2 linked regions of the Elephas maximus indicus genome follow. The protein of the gene in region 1 interacts with the protein of each later gene in a biochemical or structural test. Links are inferred from orthologs where the notes say so. Each region holds a gene or a part of one and is shown in the gene's direction. Other genes may lie near its edges.

Evidence for each region.
Region 2: the proteins of LRRK1 (region 1) and BAG3 form a complex in vitro, tested with the Homo sapiens proteins (2 studies listed by BioGRID and IntAct, with this or other methods). The link is inferred for Elephas maximus indicus from reciprocal best matches to the Homo sapiens genes LRRK1 and BAG3.

What each region holds. Positions count from the first base shown.
Region 1 is NC_064831.1:92,682,955-92,692,996, forward strand, and holds the start of LRRK1 (leucine-rich repeat serine/threonine-protein kinase 1), read left to right. Parts: upstream 1-5,757; 5' UTR 5,758-5,847; intron 5,848-6,194; exon of another isoform or gene 6,195-6,484; intron 6,485-10,042. Other genes in the region: ALDH1A3 (aldehyde dehydrogenase family 1 member A3), read left to right, coding at 735-807.
Region 2 is NC_064834.1:70,240,767-70,250,398, forward strand, and holds the start of BAG3 (BAG family molecular chaperone regulator 3), read left to right. Parts: upstream 1-6,054; 5' UTR 6,055-6,496; coding exon 6,497-6,682; intron 6,683-9,632. UniProt on the Homo sapiens protein: Co-chaperone and adapter protein that connects different classes of molecular chaperones including heat shock proteins 70 (HSP70s), e.g. HSPA1A/HSP70 or HSPA8/HSC70, and small heat shock proteins (sHSPs), e.g. HSPB8.

The sequences.
Region 1 (10,042 bases):
GCGTGAGGAAGGACACTGGGCTGTATTGGGTTAACAGAAACTGCTCAGTGGTGCCCCACGCCCAGGGCCAGTGCAATACCCTAGATATGCTAGACACACTGTCTCCCTTGTGTCTGGTCTGTGGTGACCTCTCCCCTCACTGCCCCCGTCCGGCCTCCGTCTTCTCACAGCTGGTTCCCAGCTGTGGGCTCCAAGGCCAACTTCAGGCCCCATGTCTTTGCTGCTCTTGAGTCCTCTAGCCACATCCGTGGTCAATAGCCTTGGGTCGCTGCCTCTTCTAGCTCTCCCAGTGGCTCCAAACTGCCATCCAAAAATTATGAACCCAGTGTAATTTCCATTCCCAGCTTCCTTTTGTTCCCCCATGCAGGCCCTCTCCTCCTCTGCTCTGCTCCTCCTACCCTGGGAATGTACCTCTCTCTGTTTTTAATTGCCTTCATTCTTCAAAGGGAAACCCTTATTCCTTCTGAATATTTGAAAGCATCATACACAAAAACCTTGATATTTAAACTTAAAGTTACATATTCAATCACTCAAACTGACTATTGGTGTTACTCTAACTGACTTATTCTATCAAGAAATCACATTTTGGCCTTTTGCATAAATTCCAAATTTATGCATAAATTTGGCCTTTTGTATAAACTCCCGACAGAGCCACAATAATGCATTAGAACAGTTTCCATGGAAAGGCTAAGGAAGGCTCTCCTTTTGAATCTTTCTCTTTTCCGTGATCACAGAGGTGAATATGCTCTGAGCGAATATACAGAAGTGAAAACCGTCACCATCAAACTGGACGACAAGAACCACTGAAGGGAAGGCAGGGTCCTTCCTCCAACATTTGACAACTGAATGTGGCGGATTACACTTGCCGAAGAAAAAAATGACATTTCTGACCTTTTTGTGACACTTTCTTCTGGAAGCTTTCAATCTGCTGGATTTGAATGCCTCTTCTCCTCCCACGCTAAGTTTTATTGATCAAGCTGTGGATGCCCGTATGTTGTGCAAAATTGCGTTCCTGCCTGGGGATGGCGCTATTGGCCATTTCTGTTTTGCCCTTTAAACTGGGTACCAGCGGACAGTGAAGATGCTCAGGGCACTGTTAACAGGAAGTGGTACTTGCAGTGGCCAGCAGCTCCTGAAAAATGTGTTGCTGAATCTGACTCTAGTAAGAATTTGGAAAAACTCCCTGCATGTTCCGCCAGCAGAGCCCTGCACCTACGGTCTCCTCAGGTTCACCTGTCCACAGAACAAGCCTCTCTTTCTGGGGGAGGGCTGACGGTACCATGCAGTGGGAAAAGCATTAACACTAAGTTAAAAAAAAAAAAAAGGCTGCAAGGATCTGATGGGCGGAGATTTGGGGGTTGTGGGCATGTGTGGGTGAGGGTCTTTGAGGTCTGCATATTTAGTGACCACGGCACTCAGCTTATAAAAACAATACTGCCTTTGGAATCTGACCAAATCGTAGCCCAAAGAGCATATTCTAAAAATGTGTCATTGTCTATCTTAACCAAGGCACTTTCTTAGGCAAAAAAAAAAAAAAGTTCTATCGCCTTTGCTGCTAAGGAGCCAACGCTCTGACCCTCCAACAGCACAGCGAATCCCCCGGTAATTAAGTTCCACATTTTACAAACACACCAAAGCAATAATTCATTTTAGGAATTCTGCCTTTCTACTACACTCCTTAATGGTTTATGATAAGCCTACATACTTATCCTTTTTCCAGTTCTGTTACCCGGTTTAGATTAGGAAAACATACGGAACTGGAAAGACGACTGTCATAATATAGACCTGCTTTTTCAAAGTCCTATTTTGATGTTAATTTCTGAGTAATTAACAGATAAGACATGGGCTCCCTGGAGGACCTGGGTCTCCTACTAAATCCAAGTGGTCTGAGTACTTTATAACAGGTTGTGAAGTTTTCTTTTCCTCTTTGTGTATCCAAAGGGTGTGCAATCCCATCAACTTTGACTTGGAAAACGGAAGGTGTTTCCATAGAGCTTTAAAAAAACAAAACCAAACTTAAATTGTGTTATTCGGACACTGTTACTGTTACTAACTAGTCATTTTCTAATGGGAAAAATGGTGCTTGTGCTTGACAATTCATTGGCGTGAGCACAGTGATAAGATGAAGCTCCATGTCACAACCTGTGTGTATAAAGAAAATCACGCAGGAAATGGGGTTATCATCCTCGTGAGCAATATGCAATGTGTACTTCACCTTCTCTCCATCAGTTAACACTTACATTAACAATTCACTTGTTAGGTCAGGATTAGACTTCTTACACTGAATCGTCAGGATTTTATCTCAACTAACTATAGACACTAACCTCGATAGTAATGCCTTGGAGGTTCTTTTTCTTCCATTGTACAATAATGCCTTTAATATGAAACTCTACATTAATTACGATTGGTATAGGGTCGCTATGAGTTGCAATCGACTTGACACCAATGGGTTTTGGTATAGTTAATTATATCTTTTTATAGCTGTAAGTACACAGAGGTGGTATATTTAACCTTCTGTAATATACTGTATTTAGAAATGGAAATCTATATCCTGTTTGATTTCACTTTTTTAAAGGTTTACCACTGTGGTATGGTTTAAAAATGTATCAGCCTGGAAATTCGGCTCCTACCTACAGATTGAGCTCAACAATGCAACAATGATAAAATAAACTTAGGTATTTGAGAAACATTATGTTGTGTTTTGTTCTGTTTTCATTTGAGAACTCAATCCCTTTTAATTCTGTGGCTGACCCCTCTTTCCTGGGTCTTCTGTACAAAATGTCTTGTAACAAAGCAGGGTCAGTAACTGAGGCTACAAGTCCCCTTGCTCAATCGATCAGGCCTAGTGCTTTGCCTGAGCGTGAAACCCATTCCTATCGGTTTTGGAGTCAACCAGGCAGGGAGCCTGGCTTCACTGTCTCTCTGTCTTAATTGGCTAACTTTAGACTGGTCACCTGAGCTGCCCGAGTCTCTTTTTAGTATAAAGTGATGAGGACATTTGCCATGAGTGTGGAAAGTGGTGGGGAAGATCACAAGAGAAATTTAGTGAAAATACCATGTCCCCAGTTGTGTGTCTAAGTGTCTGTTTTTATCACTTTCTTCACAAGGATCTAGGTGCTTGTGTTTAATTTACCTAACGTTTCTAAGACTTCTAACCAAGAAGCCTCAATCACCAAGTCATGAGCTGTCACTGAAGTTGGATCAAGAACACTCCTTGTACTTGGTTAGGTCCCCTGAGCTCAGCCTGTACACATAATGTTGAAAATCTAAATCACTCTTGCCGTGTGTTGACAAAGCACAGCTCCTTTAAGAGAAAACGAATCTGATCCCTCTTAAAATACATATGCATTTAGAAATATCCCGCTTCTCAATCCAGGTGTGAGCAGAAAATTATGGTAAAATGACATTTTATTTCATTTTGGTTTACCAGTGTATTGCTCCCTGAAGAGAACCATCCTGGGGACAATAGGTGGGCCATGGTGCATGTGTGTGCACTTGTGTGCCTGTGGGATGAGTGAGGGGGAGGCACGTTCTCTAACAGTGGCCCCTTTGGTGTACCCTTGCTCCTCCTGATGGTATCTGAAGCCTTTTGAATGTCCTTGCTCTTACCCATATGGCTAACTTGAGTTTGAAGGTGACCGGGACAGTGAGGGACATTTTTTTAAAAGCATCCATGGAGAAACATCTGAGGAAACTGAGTACCACACTGAAGAAACATAGCTAGAAGACATGGAGGGAACAGCCTGCCACTGTGCCTTCAGAAGGCAGAAACCGAAGTTTCTGGAGGCAGCTTCCGGCTGACCCACCTTAGGCGGGCCATTCCATTCTGAGGTGCTGAAAATCTGGGTAGGATGCTGAGTACAAGCTAGAGGACATGGGCCAGTGGGATCCAAGAAGAAGCCAAAAGGAATCTTAACTGACCTGTAATAGCCTTCTATGGGAACCTATGACTCATGCCTAATGCATAGAGTTGAGTTGAATGCCAGGATATAACTAGCTCAAAATAGGATATCTGAGTGTCAAATGTCAGCTGCTTTTCATGTTGGGACCATTTTTTAGCCTGTCTCCAAGCTCATTTAACAGGGAAGTTGAGTGGACCCTGCAGGTGTTGGCAGGGTGGATTACCTAATAGGCAAGGTAAGCACAGTATTTATCTTTCTTACCAGACCATCTGTAGTGAACAATTTCTCATGGGTTTCACCATATCTTTGATTGTTCACTACAGATTAGTAAGTAAACACAAGTAAACTGGTGCTTACCTTGCTTACTGGGTCATCCGACCCTGTCAGGGACTGTAAATTTGAAAAGAGGTTTTGATTCTGTGGGAAGGTGCTATGGTGTTGAAAGAGGGACAGATGCCAGCCATACCTGGAAGCAGAAACTTTGATGTGGTGAAAAAATGTGAAATAATCCTCCCCTGGTTTTTTTTTTGGGGGGGGGTGTTGGTCCAGTCCGCTCCAGGGTCACCAGCTAGGATCGTGCGCTTCATCACTGCGTCGCTAGGTGGCGGGGCCTCGCCGGGGAGGCGCCTCCCCGCCTACGCCGGGCTCACTCAGCACAGCGCACGCCAAGTCCTGCAAATTATTAGGGACTTTTCGGTGGCAGTCATACTGATGACCTAGCATATGATACTAAGACCCCAGTGGTGGGGATAGAATTGCAAAACTGAAAAGGCGCCGCGTGGCCGTCAGTTCTGAAGGCAGTCTCCGGAGAGCAGAGCAAAGCTGACCAGTGGTTCCCTCGCCAACCAGGGGCCCCCACCAGCCGCTATAAGGGACCACTACGCGGGGTGTCCGTCACGTCGAGCCAGGGCCCTATGGCTGCTCCGGTTTCTGTGAAATGGCAGCGAGGGTCGTAGCCGTTTATCGTTGCGCTTTGCGCTAAATCCTGGGAATGTTCCCATCATTACATTACATGAGAGGAGCCTATGGGGCTGGCCCTTACAGGGCGTCCATTGATAGGTTTTTCTGAGCGGGCTTCTCTGCCCTCAGTGAACACGCAGAGCCTGATCTGAAGCCTGCGTTGGCGTATGAGCCTCAATGGTGTGACGGACATCCTTACGTTAGGGTGAAAGAAAGTTGTCGTTATTCCACCACGTTTTACCTACAAACAAAATAAGCCATTAAAAACGATCCATCAAATAGTTGTGTGTTTGCATACATCCGTAATTAAATCAGTTAAATTCATGTAGGAGAGGAGCAGTTTGCAAAATATTAAAGCTTACAAAATACTCATCTTTGCCCTGTAGAAGGGATGTACACAAGGGAATTTCCGTATTTTTCATATTTACTGCCAGAGAATATGGCCAACACGCAAGTTAGAGTTAATTCGCCGATTTGGGTGCAGAGCAGAGTAGAGGGACAGGGCAAGCTGGGTGAAGCCGAGAACTAATTTTCTCTTCGCCTTCCCGCGTGCACCAGCGGACTCGGAGGAGGACTCCACCCTAGAAGGCTCCCCGGAGCCTGTCACCTTCCCGGGGCAGGGAGTAAGAAATTTGGCCACCTAGGTTTAACGACTAGGGAAACTGAGGCGGGGCACCCCGGGGCGCCTCGTCCCCACACCGTGAGAGCCAGCAGCGCCCAGACCCTGGGCGCGCGGCAGCCTCTCCCTGCGCGCCTTTTGCGCCGCCGACGCCCGCCCGCCGGCCCGCCCTCCCGCCGCCCGCCCCAGCGCCCTCCGCAGGATTGAGGAAGTGCGTCTGGTCCCGGCGCGGCCGAGGCGCGGGGGCTGGAGACGGTCGGACCTCCAGGCCCAGGCCCCCTAGTCTCCTCCTGGCTGCCCCGGGCGCCCCAGCCCCGCGTCCGGAACGACCGCGTCCCTCCTTTCCGCCGGCCGCTGCCGCCGCAGGTAAGCACTGCCCGGGCCCGCGCCGCCGCCCGCCCAGGGACCTAGCCGCCTCCTGCAGCCCGGCGGGGACCCGAGAGCCGGCTCCCACTCGCCCTGGCCCGTGCTCGGGCCTCTGCCTGCTTCTGTGCCCCTGGCCCCGCAGCCCGGCCCTGCGACCCAGGCGGCATCGTGGTCGAGGAGCGGGACACGGAGGCGCGGGCGAACCCCCATCTCTCGGCCCCGCGGCCTCCAGTGCGCGCGGACCCAAGCCAGCCCTCGGGGTGGGAGTGTGCGAAGCCCTGCACCGGACAGCACCAGGGCGGACGGAGCAGCGGCAAGAAACAAAAGTAGGAAATTGCGCCAGGGTGTATCCACGTTTCCTCTGCCTTTGAAGGAAACCTTCTACAGCTTGGAGCGGGGAATTTGTGTGTGCGCGCGCGTGTGCTTGTGAGGGCGTGTGCGCAGGGAAGGGGCTGTCCCAGGACTCTCTCTTCCTAGCCGCGGCCTCAGTGATGCGGGTTGGCTCAGCGCGCCTTCACCCACCACAAAGTCGGGGGCATTCTTCTTGCCCAAGGGTTGCGTCTCTGGCCAGATACCGATTAAATCCGCTTTCTCTGTGGGCTTGGGCAACCTCCCCAAGCGTGCTGGGGTCGGCGAGGTGAGTGTGACCCGGGGGTGCAGGTGTTAGGGAGGGTGCTGGGGGTTGGAGAGAGATGATGATGGAGAAGATGAAAGATAGGTGGTCAGCCAAACCTACCCCTTAGCCTAGTGAGGCCCACACCAAGGTTTTCTCCCACAAACTTTCAAAGTGTGGCGTCTGCAGGGGTCTGAGAGGTGGAGAAATCAGGAGCGTGGAGCTACGTTCTTAGCCAGCCCCTCACCAAACGATTAGACGATTTTTAGAGTTTCCCACTCACATGGTATCAAAGTTAATGCTGTCAGTAGATGTCATGTAGTTGATTTCAACTCCTAGCAACCCATGTGACAAAGTAGAACTGCCCATAGGATTTTCTAGGCTGTAATCTTTATGAACACAGACGACCAGGTCCTTTTTTTCCTGGAGCATATGGGTGTGTTCGAACTGCTAATGTCTCGGTTAGCAGGTTAGCAGCCAAGCACTTAACTATTGTGCCACGAGGACTCTTGTTGGTATCAAAGTATGAGGATCCTAAAGAGACAACTAGAATATGCATGATTTTGGGAAATGTTAAAGTTAAAGTCTTCATTATATTATTTTCATTATCTTTGCTTATGTCCTAGAACAAAAAAAAAAATTACTGAGTTGATAACATACAAACCCCACACTTAATATGTCCCTAAAACAGGTCTTGGGATGAGCCAAACCTTTCCATCTCCTGGGGAAGGCCCCATAGCTCAGTTGCTCAGAGGGAAGCCTAGGAATTAACCCTGGGAACATCCCATTCCCTTGTCCCCGGGATTCTTCCCGTTAGCAAGTCCTGCTGGGTCTACCTCCAAAGTGTGTCCTGGGTCTATCCGCTTCTTTCTCACACACCCTCCACTCTAGTCCAAGGTGTCAGGATCTCTTGTAAGATTCTTGAGTGATTTCCGTGATAGCTACATCTGATCATGTCACTATGTGCATGGAACCCTGTAGCGCCTTCTTCTTGTGATTGGTATAAAATCCAGAGGAACTCCTTCCTCTCACCGCTCCCCCACTGTGTGCTCCGGCCACTGCCATCGATGTTATCCCCCCAACCTCTGCCGCCCCGTCCACCCTGGTGGCGCTTGTTTGCCAGCATGAGGCATGGACATTGCTGTTCCCTGACTTCACGTGGCTGACACCTCAGGAGGCCTTAGAAGGCCTTCCCCGGCCACCCTCTACACCCCTCCTCAGTCTCTCTTCCATCCCATCTCTGTGTTCTTATGCCCACCACTATCTGCGTATACCTTCTTTATCTCTTCAATTTCTTCTTTAATTAGCGGGCTCCTGAGGTCAGAGACCATGTCTGTCTTGCAAACCACCGTGTCCCCAGCTCCCAGGACTGTTCTTGGCGTAGGAGATGCCCAGTGCATACTGGGGAGTGACCAGATGGTTAATGTTGTTGTTGTTATTCGTTGCCCCAGAGACAGCTCCGATTCACGGCAACCCCATGTACAACAGAACGAAACGTGGCCCTGCCCTACACCATCTTCGTGATCGTTGGTATTGAGTCCGTGGTTGCAGCCAATGTGTATTTTGAGTCTCTTTGAACCTAGGGAGCTCACCTTCCAGCAACTTCATTGGCTAATTTTTAGAAATAGATATCCAGGCCTTTCTTCCTAGTCGGTCTTAGTCTGGAAGTACTGCTGAAATGTGTCTACGATGAGTGGCCATGCTGGTATTTGAAATACTGGTGGCATTGCTTCTAGCGTCATAACAACATGCAGGTCACCACAGACAAACTGACAGATGGGTGGTGGAAATGATGAATGACACCAGCCTTCACTAACTGGTGGTTTGGGACTCAAGAAGTGCCTCTGTTGTCAAATCCTTGGGTGCTCATTTGGGATCGAGAGCTATATGCTCCTCCAGCCTGCAGATCCATGGTTATTTTGATATTCACAAACCTGTCAGATACATTTTGCAGGCAGACCAATATTGGTAAAGGGATCCTAGAACCATAGACCAGCCTTCTTGACCAGCCTACTACTATCAATTCAAAAAGAAGCTAGACTACAGGAACATTTCGAATATACTTCATTTGCCAGTGTCTTCCCACTCTTTGGTAAAGTCCCTGAGTCGCCCAAATAGTAAGCGCTCAGCTACCAACCTAAAGGTTTGCAGTTTGAGTCCACCCAGAGGTGCCTCAGAAGAAAGGCCTGGCCATCCCCTTGTGAAAAATCAGCCATTGAGAACCCTGTGAGCACAGTTCCACTCTGACACACCTGGGGTCGCCATGAGTCAGGGTCAAATCCACAGCAACTGGGTTTTATTTCACTGTCTTCCCTTTACATTAACTGTAAGTTTCGAGAACTCATGAAGTCGACTCCTCACAGAGAAGGGTTACTAACTATTTGTAGAATGAATCATAGGTTCCTTTTTTTCTTTTTCACCAAGTATTTAGGTTTATTCAATAATGCAAGTATAAGGAATTAGCAAAAGGAAATTGGTGAGGTTTAAAAAAAAAAAAAACCATTAAAACAATTATGATTTCTGAAAAGCGCCTGAAGCCCTCTTTAAGATGTATATACTGTAACAAAAAGAAAAAGTATTATTTGCCACCAGGATTTATTGCTTAGGTCTGAACCCGAAAGAAGCAGCAGAAGGAAACAAAGATCAGCTTGAGGGCAAAGACTGAGCAAAACTTGTGTTACCTCATCTTAAAACGTCTGCCTTTGAATGTAAGCCAAAATACAAATTACAGTTTAAAAACTGCTCCAGTGGCAAAATCCTCCATCGGTAAAGTGATTTTCAAAAGGAAACTGAAAATGAAAAGAGGAACAAATGTGCTGGGTGAAGGTTAGCCAAAAATATTTTTTTAAGATTTTTACTTTTTTTTTTAATTTAAAACCATTATGTGGTAATAAAGGAGCCCTGGTAGTGCAGTGATTAAGCGCTCAGCTGCTAACTGAAAGGTTGGGGGTTTGAACTCCCCAGTGGCTCCTAGGGAGAAAGATGTGACAGTCTTCTTCCGTAAAGATTACCCCAAAAAACTCAAACCCGTTGCCGTCGAGTTGATTCTGACTCACAGCGACTGTATAGGACAGAGTAGAGCTGTCCCATGGGGTGTCCAAGGCTGTATACTTTATGGAAGCAGATGCCACATCTTCCTCCCTTGGAGAAGCTGGTGGTTTGAACCACTGACCTCTTGGCTAGGAGCCGAGTGCTTTAACCACTATGGCACCGAGGCTCCTTCTGGGAAGTTACAGCCTTGGAAACCCTGTGGGGCAGTTCTGCTCTGTCCTATAGGGTCGCTGTGAGTCAGAACCGACTCGACGGCACGGGGTTTTGGGTTGGTTATCTTAGTAGCTGTTTTAGAGATTGTTTGGAAGCAAAGAGCAACTATGCTTCTCGGTATGGCTTGGAGCCATTATTTTTACTTTTTTTTTTCTTTTTATGTTTTTATTGTGCTTTAAGTGAAAGTTTACAAATCTAGTCAGTCGCATACAAAACATACATCTTGAGATATACTCCTAGTTGCTCTCCCCCTAATGAGACGGCACCTCTGCCCTGTATTTCTGTGTCCATTCAGGCGGCTTTTGTCTGCCTCTGCCC
Region 2 (9,632 bases), on another chromosome or scaffold:
GTTGCCAAAGGATCTCAATTTTTCAAATGTGCTGGTTCGATGACCCAGCAATTCCACTTGCAAGCATTAACAGACACACTCGTGCGTCCGTGCACAGTGACTGATGTGTGCAGGGGAATGTGTGCTGCAGCGTTGTTTGTAATGGCAGGAGGCTGGGAACCACCAGAAGGACTAGCAATAGGCTACCCTTGAATAAATTATAGCGATCCCTGCAATAGAGCAGTGCGCAGCCACTTACAAGAGTAAGGAAGCTCTTACGGACTGATGGAAATTTTATGCTGTTAAGTGAAAGGTGTCAGGTGGAGGGCAGCGTGCCAGGTGTGCTAGCATTTGTGAATAAGCACGCTTACATTGGTAAATGCACAGAGCACCCCTGGCAGAACACCCAGTGACGTAAGGATACTGATCAACTCTAAGCAGACAACTGGGAGGCTAGGGAACCTTAGAAGGAGGAATATTCATTTTTTCACTGAATAACCTTTTGTGCCTTTGGACTTCAGTATCGTGTGGGAGTATTACCAATTTGAAAAAACATTGAACACAAATGTCCATTTCTCCCTGAAGCAGCAAAAGGCGCAGGGGTGTTTAGCTTTATAGTTAAGCACAGACTCAGACAGACCTGGGTTCAAATCCTGGTTCTACCTGCTGGTCAGCTGTGTGAACTTCGGCAAGTTAGTCAACATCTCTAAGCCTGTTTTCTCATCCATGAAATGGCTTTATTAAAAGCCTATGCCTCCAGCTGGAACAAAGAGTGAGAATAGTTGTATATCTTGAAGAATGTAAGCAATGTCACTGAATTGTACGTGTAGAAATTATTAAATTGGTATATGTTCTGCTGTGTATATTTTCAACAACAACAAAAAAAATTACTTTTAAAAGATGTGAAGGGAGAGTAAAGACTTCTTTTGATTAAAAAAAAAAAAAAAAAAGCCTGTCCCTTAAGGTTACTAAACCAAAAAACCACTGCCATTGAGTAGACTCATAGCGACCCTATAGGACAGTGTGGAACTGCCCCGTACAGTTTCCAAGGAGCACCTGGGGGATTCAAACTACTGACCTCTTGGTTAGCACCGTGGCACTTAACCACCACACCACCAGGATTTCCGTTCCTGGGGTTACTACGTGGAATAAATGAGATCAGGTCCTAATGTGTTCAGCACAGTGCCTGATATTAAAACAATTAGCTTTTAATGCTGGAGTCCCCACTTCCATGGATCCTGCCATCCTTTCAGGAAAGAACATGAACAGTTAAATAACAAAACAAGATAGTTTATGATTAAAGACCCAGATGCCTGGTACAGGGTGTACCTGCCATGTGAGGTCAGAGAGCGCAGACTTTAACTTTTAATAACAAACAGATGCAAAGTTAGTGCTGAAATCCTAAGCTCTGCTGCTCTGCCAGGTTCTGATTTTTTCACCTCTATAGTTGGAATCCACCAGGCGCTCCTTGGAAACTCTACGGGGCAGTTCTACTCTGTCCTATAGAGTCCCTATGAGTCGGAATCGACTCGACAGCAGTGGGTTTGGTTTTTGGTTTTTTTGACAGGGTGTATTTAGGGTTATCATCGAAGTCTCCATAGCATAATCAGAGCAGACATCACTTCTCTCCCAATGCACTTGACCATCAGAACATTCTAGAGAGGCCATTGCTCACATCCAGTTGGCCCTGGCCTCCCCTTGTCCAGGCTGCCCAGAGTAGAAGGGTCCACCTGGAAAGTATGCTTGGCAGCATGGGCTGGTCCCTGATAACACCCCAAAGACATGCAAAAATGACTTTCAGGTTCAGCTTGGGGTGAATGGTGCTTTCGCTCAGATTGAGGAGAACTGGCTGTTCTGCTCTGCCAGCTCATGTGTTCCACGGGAGATGGATTAAATCATCCAGATTTTCATCCAGACACTGAATGAAAGCTTTCGGGTGACATTTTCATTTAAAACTCACCATTGTAGGTGGGCTGGAGGCCCGGTCTGCGACCTGTGCTGGGACTCCGCCAGTCTCTTAAACCCTGTTCACAGGATTGATCTGTAATCCTCCATGGCAGGGCCTGTTGCTGCCCTTGTTTCTTCAGCATTGAGAAAAATATGTGCACGAACCTGGATTTTTGAATTACAGTTTTTAATTTGTTTCCCTTGGTGATGAACAGGACTAAACAATCAGGTCACGTATCATATTTATTGAGTGCCTGGCTGTGTGACTTGGAGCAGGTTACTTCACTTCTCCAAACCTTAGTTTCTTCACCTATAAAAGGAGAATCATAATAACGCCTACATCGTAAGGTTGTTGAGAGAACTGTCCTATGTTTGGTTCCCCAGGAAGCAAACGCCAAGACAAGGTAGCAAGCAGGTTGCTTATTAGGGAGTGCGGAGGGCAGGAAGCAGGATTGGGCAGAGGGAGGAGTTGAGCTGTGATGTAATCCCAAGGAAAGCCATCAGCCAGCCCTGGAGCTGGGATTGCCTTTCAGAACTATCCTTAGTTGGGACAAAGGGTCGGGGCTTTTTATACCCCTTGGTAGATCAGTCATTCCACCATCAGTTTGTCAGCTTGCCATACTGCTATGGCTTGTGTGCTGCTGTGATGCCGGAAGCTGTGTCACTAGTATTTCAAATACCAGCAGGGTCACCCATGGTGGACAGGTTTCAGTGGCACTTCCAGACTAAGACAAGGAAGAAAGGCCTGGCGATCTACTTCCAAAAATGAGCTAATGGAAACCTTATGGATCACAGCAGAATATCGTTTGATATAATGCTGGAAGATGAGCCCGCCAGGTTGGAAGGCACTACACAATAGCTGCAACAGTGGACTAAAAAATACCAACAGATCATGAGGCTAGTGCAGGACCGGGCTGTTATACACAAGGTCCTGTGAGTTGGAGCTGACTCGACCGCAAGTAACCACAACAACAGATCAGTCATTGGATGCGGGTTGCCCCTGGAAGGAGGTATGACCTTGGAAAAGGCAATTTTCTCCAGCTGAGCCAATTCTCAAAGGGGACTAACAGCTGAGAGAGGTCTTCCTGTATTGTTCTTGGCAGGTAGGGAATAAGACCCTTATTCCTGGAAGGGGATCTGGGCAGCTCATCCCAGCCTCCACCTCAAAGATGAAATGAAACAACTAACATAAAGTCCTTAACACACAGTACCTGGATTACAGTAAGCGCTCAATAAATGGTAGCCATTACAACTGTTAGCGTTGTGCTAGATGCTGGGGATACAGTGGTGATCAAGATTCCGCTCCCGCCTTCCAGAAAACTTGATCCATGAGCACATCAGATGATCCAATAAGCAATTTCCATGTGGTGTAATTGATAGGGTGGCAAAGGATTTATATGGGAGCACTTAGAAGGGACACATGACCTAGACTAGGAAGGCGGAGGTGAGTGATGTTGAAGACGATACCTGAAAATGAAGAGAAGTCAGCCAGGCAAAAGGAATGGGAGGAGCTGGAATGGGTGTGGCTCTATAGATGTAAAGATAAAAAAAAAGATGTATAAAAAAAATGTATAGGTGAATTAAATTAAGACTGACCTCAAGGCATACACTAGGCGTGGTTTTTGAATTATTCACACGTATCAGCTCACTATCCCATTCACTCAACGAGGATTTATGAAGCATCTTTATTCAATATGTCAGACAATGGACTAGGTGCTGATATCGGGATGAATGAAAGCCAACTCCTGTCTCAAGGAGCTCACAGTCCAGCAGAAGACGTCAAGGTAATTAATTCCGAACTGTTCAACAGGCTGTTAAGGCAGAGGGAAGGGCAGCGACCTCAGACTGGTGGTATGGGGCTGTTTTTCTCACAAAAAGTAGAGAAATTCTAAACAGTCAAGATTTTGAGTTAGTTGATTTGATAAGTAATCACTGAGATGGCTCCAGGCAGCAAGCTTAGACAACTCTTCCCAAGTCTCTTTCTGTAAAATTTATATTTATTGAAAGCACCGTGGCTGGGAGGTACTGTGATTCGCTCTTCGAGGAGAGACTGGATGGAGAGCAGAAATCCTCATTTGTAGAAGGGATCTATGGTCATCTGGCTACACCCTTCTGGCCTATGAAAAGTGGCTAAGGCTGACGGGAAAGTCTGAGCACAAGTCAAGTTCACTGCCCAAAACTCAGAGGATTAACACCTGAGTCTTGTTCTTATTGCTAGTTTTTTGTTCATTTGGTTCTAAGGCCTCCACTGAGCTAAATCACCTGCTTCTGGACAAAGACAAAGTCTTTTCTTATCATGAGGAATCTGTAATAAGACAGACATGCTACTCATTATTCAGCATGGCTCAGAGGGGCTTCTTCCAATCAGCTCTCCAAGACTCAGGGCTCTGCTTTAGACAAACCTATTTGAAATCCCTGGAGGACTACAAAGGAGGCCCGATGGTGCAGTGGTTAAGCGTTTGGCTGCTAATGGAAAGGTCAGCAGTTTGAACCCAACAGCCACTCTGTGAGAGAAAGATGTGGCAATCTGCTTCCCCAAAGATTTAAAGCCTTGGAAACCCTACGGGGCAGTTCTACTCTGTCCTACAGGATCCGACTATGAGTTGGAATTCGACTGAATGGCAATGGGTTTGGTGTTTGGTTTGGTGGAGTACAGTCCTCAGAAGCAGCTATGTTATTCCCAGAGGAACCTCCTTCCTCTCTGCTTCTATCAAAAAAAAAAAAAAAAAAAGGCCAGTGAAGAATGCTCTCAGTGCTTAAACTGTAGTTGTAGTGGAAAGTAAATTGAACAAATGAAGAAAATAGAAATACAAATTCACTTTGAGTTTGATTTTCAATGAACATAAACATTTATTGAATATGGGCTCTGGGCGGTGTCCTGTGTTCAGGACATCGGATGCAAGAAAGCATAAGACACTGACAGGTCAACTTGAGGGCCCAGTTTCTTCAACAGTAATTTTCTTTTGGTAAATTAATGCACTGCCATTGGGGTTTATACATCAGTCTCTTGTGTGTTTGGTTACCTGAGTCAGTGTCTGGGGTCTAATCACCTTTCTGTTTTCAGGAAAATGAGTTTTTTTTTTTTTCCCATTCAAAGCCGATAAGTATACTTTTTAAAGTGGGTATCATTCCTTTGGAAATGATTGGCAGGCCTCCTTAGGGGTCATTTGAGGGCAGGAAGAAACAAGAGGTGTTTCTGAGGGCTACAGACCTATTCTCTGAATTTGAGTTGGAAACTGGGCCTAACATTATTCCAAGGCAGCTTCTCAAACTTTCTGGGAAGGCATTGAGTCGACATGCCTAGAGGTCTAAATTGGAACCTCCTTAACATTCTCTCTGTGGGACGCAGACCTCCCAGGGGAGCCAGGGCGTTCTGTTGAAGTTACAAGTGCAACCACCATTGAATCAACCAAACAGAAAATTTTAATTGTACGTTTTGGTCTCTACTTTCCAAATGAAGGTCAAGCTTTAAGATTTCACCTTTCACTCTCCTAGCAAGAACCTCTACCATAAATAACGATCAAAACCCAAAAGAATGTGATCTTTAAAGTTATTCACCGCAATTAAAGTTTCTGTATTTGAGATATGACGTTCGAGGAGAATAAAACCATCGGCTGGAGCAATCTTTTTTCCTTCTTTAGGTTTCAGAAGGCAGGCAGGTGAGTTCCCACTGCGGCTCCATCTTCTGCCCGGCTTTGTTCAGTGTCCAATCAACGTTCCAGACCACCCCCTCCCCAAACAGCCCTCAAGCTCCATGAAAGAAAGTGATTAAAACGTAACTGAGCGACGCCCCTGTTCCCAAATACCGGTGTGTCGGTGGCGGAGGGGGGGCGGAAGGACCGTAACATCTCCAGCTCAAAACGACTTTAAAGGCTAACGATGACTTTGTTTTTATGAAAAGAAGGGGCAGCAGCCGCACGGCGCGCGGACTCCCAGTCCGGGGACACCCACGCGACGCGCAGGGGAAGGAGCGAGTCTGAAACCCGAAACCCGCCCGGGGACCCCAGGCAACGCCCTGGGGGCTCGCACGGCCTGGGTGCGCCCCGCGGCCCTCTCGGGGAGGGGTGGGGGAGGGGAGTCCGGCCTGGCCCCGCCCCGCGCGCCACGATTATAGCCGATGACTCAGGGCGGAGCTCCGCATCCAAGCCAGGCCGCCGCCAACTTCTCTGGATGGGACCAGAAGTTTCTAGCCGGCCAGTTGCTGCCTCCCTTTATCTTCTCCGTCCCCTTTGGCAGCAAGGAGGCTATTTCCAGACACTTCCACCCCTCTCCGGCCACGTCACCCCCTCCTTTAATTCATAAAGGTGCCCGGCGCCGGCCTCCCGGACACGTCGGCGGCGCAGGACTCAGGCTCCGGCGGCGGAGAGGTCCCCGCGGCGGCGGCCCAGCATTTCGGCGCCTGGAGGCCCGGCACCGCGCGAGCCCGCACCCCGCGACCCGGCACCCAGTTCTCTGGCACCCCGTGACCCGGCACCGCGCACTCCGGCACCCCGTGACCCGGCACCCCAGCACCCCGAGACCCCGCTCTCCGGCACCCCGGCGGCCGCCCTCCGGGCCGACCCCGACAAGCATGAGCGCAGCCACCCACTCGCCCATGGTGCAGATGGCGTCCGGCAACGGCGCCGGCGACCGCGACCCCCTGCCCCCGGGCTGGGAGATCAAGATCGACCCGCAGACCGGCTGGCCCTTCTTCGTGGACCACAACAGCCGCACCACGACGTGGAACGACCCGCGCGTGCCCCCCGAGGGTCCCAAGGTGAGCTGGGCCCGCGTCCCCTCCCTGGCCGGCGGCCCCACCTCGATGACAGGCGGGGCCGCAGCGCCGGGGCTGAGCCTCTGCCTGTGCCCAGGCCGGGAGGTCGGTGGAGGCCACCTCGGCGGACGCACAGCCCTCGGGGTGACAGCCCTCCCTGTCCTCCCCGGGGTCGCCCGGCCCCTCGAGCTCGTCCTGCCGCGCTTAGGGAGGCCCCTCCGGATACGCCCTTGACAGGCGTCGGGGCGAGGGCGAGGCCCCGGAGGCGACAGTCCCCACCGCGCCGCATTTAGTTTTGGGGGACGGGGGTGGCCCGGGCCCGTCCACTGGGTCGAGTCGCGAGGCGGGGCGGGGGGAGGGGGGAGCTGGCCTGGGGCCTGGTGCACCGAGGCCCCGTCCGTCAGGCCCCGCCGCAGGCGCCTCTGCCCGCCCGGCTTCTGTCCCCAGATCCTCAGCCGGGGGACCGAGGGGCCGCTCGCACACTCGGGCGGTGGTCTTGAGGACTTTGCTTCTTTAAGGCCCACAATTTGGCTGAGGGGGTCTCCTGACTTTACTCTCTCGTCTCGGGGACAGAGTGACTCAGGAGGCTGGTGTAAATACACAAGTTTTTTTTTTCTGTTTTTGAAATTGAAATTGTTTTATCGTGTGGAGTTGTTTTCAATAAGAATGTGTTCTAGTTTGACTTCTTAAAAACAGTATACTCTTAAGGCAGTTTCTACCCAAAGCCCTGAGAATGTCGCTCCTAGTTGTCCCTCGCCTTAAAACATTGCCTCACGCTGGAGAGACAGCCAATGATTTTTTTTTTTTAACGGCATACATTCCCTTACTTGTTATGCTATTAAAATGTTTAGGATTTGTTTCCAATACACAAATATAACTAAATAGTAATAATTTGGTAAGGAGCCCTGGTGGCGCAGTGGTTTAAGCGCTCAGCTGCCAACGGAAAAGTCTGCAGTTCCAACCCAGCAGCGGATCCAGTGGAGAAAGAGGGGCAGTCTGCTTCCGTAAATATTTACAGCCTTGGAAACCCTATGATGCTGTTCTACTCTGTCCTGTAGGGTCGCTATGAATCAGAATCAACTCCAGGGCAGTGGCTTAATACTCTGTGAATACCACAATATTCCTTGTTTACATACATGCAAGGATTTATACTTCTCAACCCTTAAGAGCATGAAAATTTGAAAATATAAATTTGGAATGAGTCTGTTAATTTAAAAAAATTGTAATTAAATGTGCCACTCTTGTAATTTTCTATAAATTTGAAATTTTTCAGAATAAGTTTTTGAAAAATAAATATACTTAGACAAAGGGTAATTGTTAATACTGTCTGTGCAGTGAAAAACTGGTAAATTATTTTGAAGATTTTAAAAACTCACATAAAGTTCAAAATGCTTTATAAATCAGTATTTCAGACGAAAGACCTGAATGTCCCACCTTCAGTTTTGGGCACTTTTTTGCCCACAGATACTGATAAAACTGTTGTGCCCAACAGCGAGACGTACATTCAGCAATTTACGTTTACAAGGAATTAGTTGTATATTTATTTCTGAAAATTACTCCACAAGGCTGTAATTAGCTGGAGTGGACGTAATTGTGTATACCTTTTGGTGTGCCTGTTCAGCCCCATTAATGGGTGAAATTTATGTCGCTGTCAAGCCAGTTCCTGTGACTGCAGTCAGCATGGCTGCAGAAGACCTTTAGTATGCTATAAAGCTATTATTTTGAGGCCTACTTCCTATAGAGGCCGACTCTGCCGGCAGCCTTTGTCCTGAGTGAAGATCAAGTTGGAACACACACTGTGAGTGCAGTCAGTATAAGACCCAAATTGCCAGCGCTTTGTTTTCAACATGGAACTCACCTGGCTAGTTGGGATTGCCTGCTTGCTTTGCTTCATGGACCCGCCCCTAGGGTGGATGGATTATGACTGTGGTTTCATAAAGCTTTTTAAGGGGGGGACAAGTTGAATTACTATTTCCAAAAAAATAGAAAATAAAAGCTACTGAGTCAGAAGTCTGACAATGGAAACAGAATTTTAAAGTTGAAAGGCCCTTAAAGATCGTATAGTTCAGCCTCTTTATTTTCCTGGTAAAGAAACCCAGAGAGTTACGGTAGGCTTCTCAAGGTCACTCAGCTAGTGCTAATAGCAAAGAGAGAACTATACCAAAAAGCCTCCAGTTTCTAAGAACAAAAAAATGGTTCACAGCCCTAATGAGAGAGAAGGTAGAAGTGTCTTGAATCTTTATGAAGCTGTGAAGCATGAAAGTTAAAAACTTGATTATCTTTGTGTCGTGCCATCCACCGAGTACAGGATTACCAACCTCTGTACCCTGGTTGCTCGGGATGGTGGTGACTGGATGTGATTAACTCAAGAAAAGCACCGTTTATCAAATGCGCTGCTTGAGATTTGGCAGCAGCATGGCACCAACCCTAAGGACAAAACGAATGTGCAGTCCACGAGCCGTTTGGGCTTCCTTGCTTTCAGAAAGCCTGTGCTTTTGATATACCAGAATATCTGGGTGACTAACTCAGTTTCAGGAGTCCCGGAGGCCTGCAATGGTTAAAGCACTCAGCTGTTAACAAAAAGAATGGCGCTTTGAGTCTACCCAGAAGTGCCTTGAAAGAAAGGTGTGGCGAGCTACTTCCAAAAACTCAGCCACTGAAAACCCTAGGGAGCAGAGTTCTAAGCTGACCCACGTGGAGTCACCATGAGTCGGAATCAACTCAACAGCAACTGTTTTTTTTTTTTTTTTTTTTAATTCAGTTTCACTTACATGAATTTCACTTTACTCCAGGTGAAATACAATGGGAAATTTTTCAGTATTATTTTATGTTAGAAATTGGTTTCTTAATGCACAGTGAGAAAGGATTCTGGCATAAAGCAAAGCGCAGATTTGGGGGGAGCAGAGTCCGCCCCCACCCCCAGCACCCTCACCTTGAAGAGGAAATGTGCTGA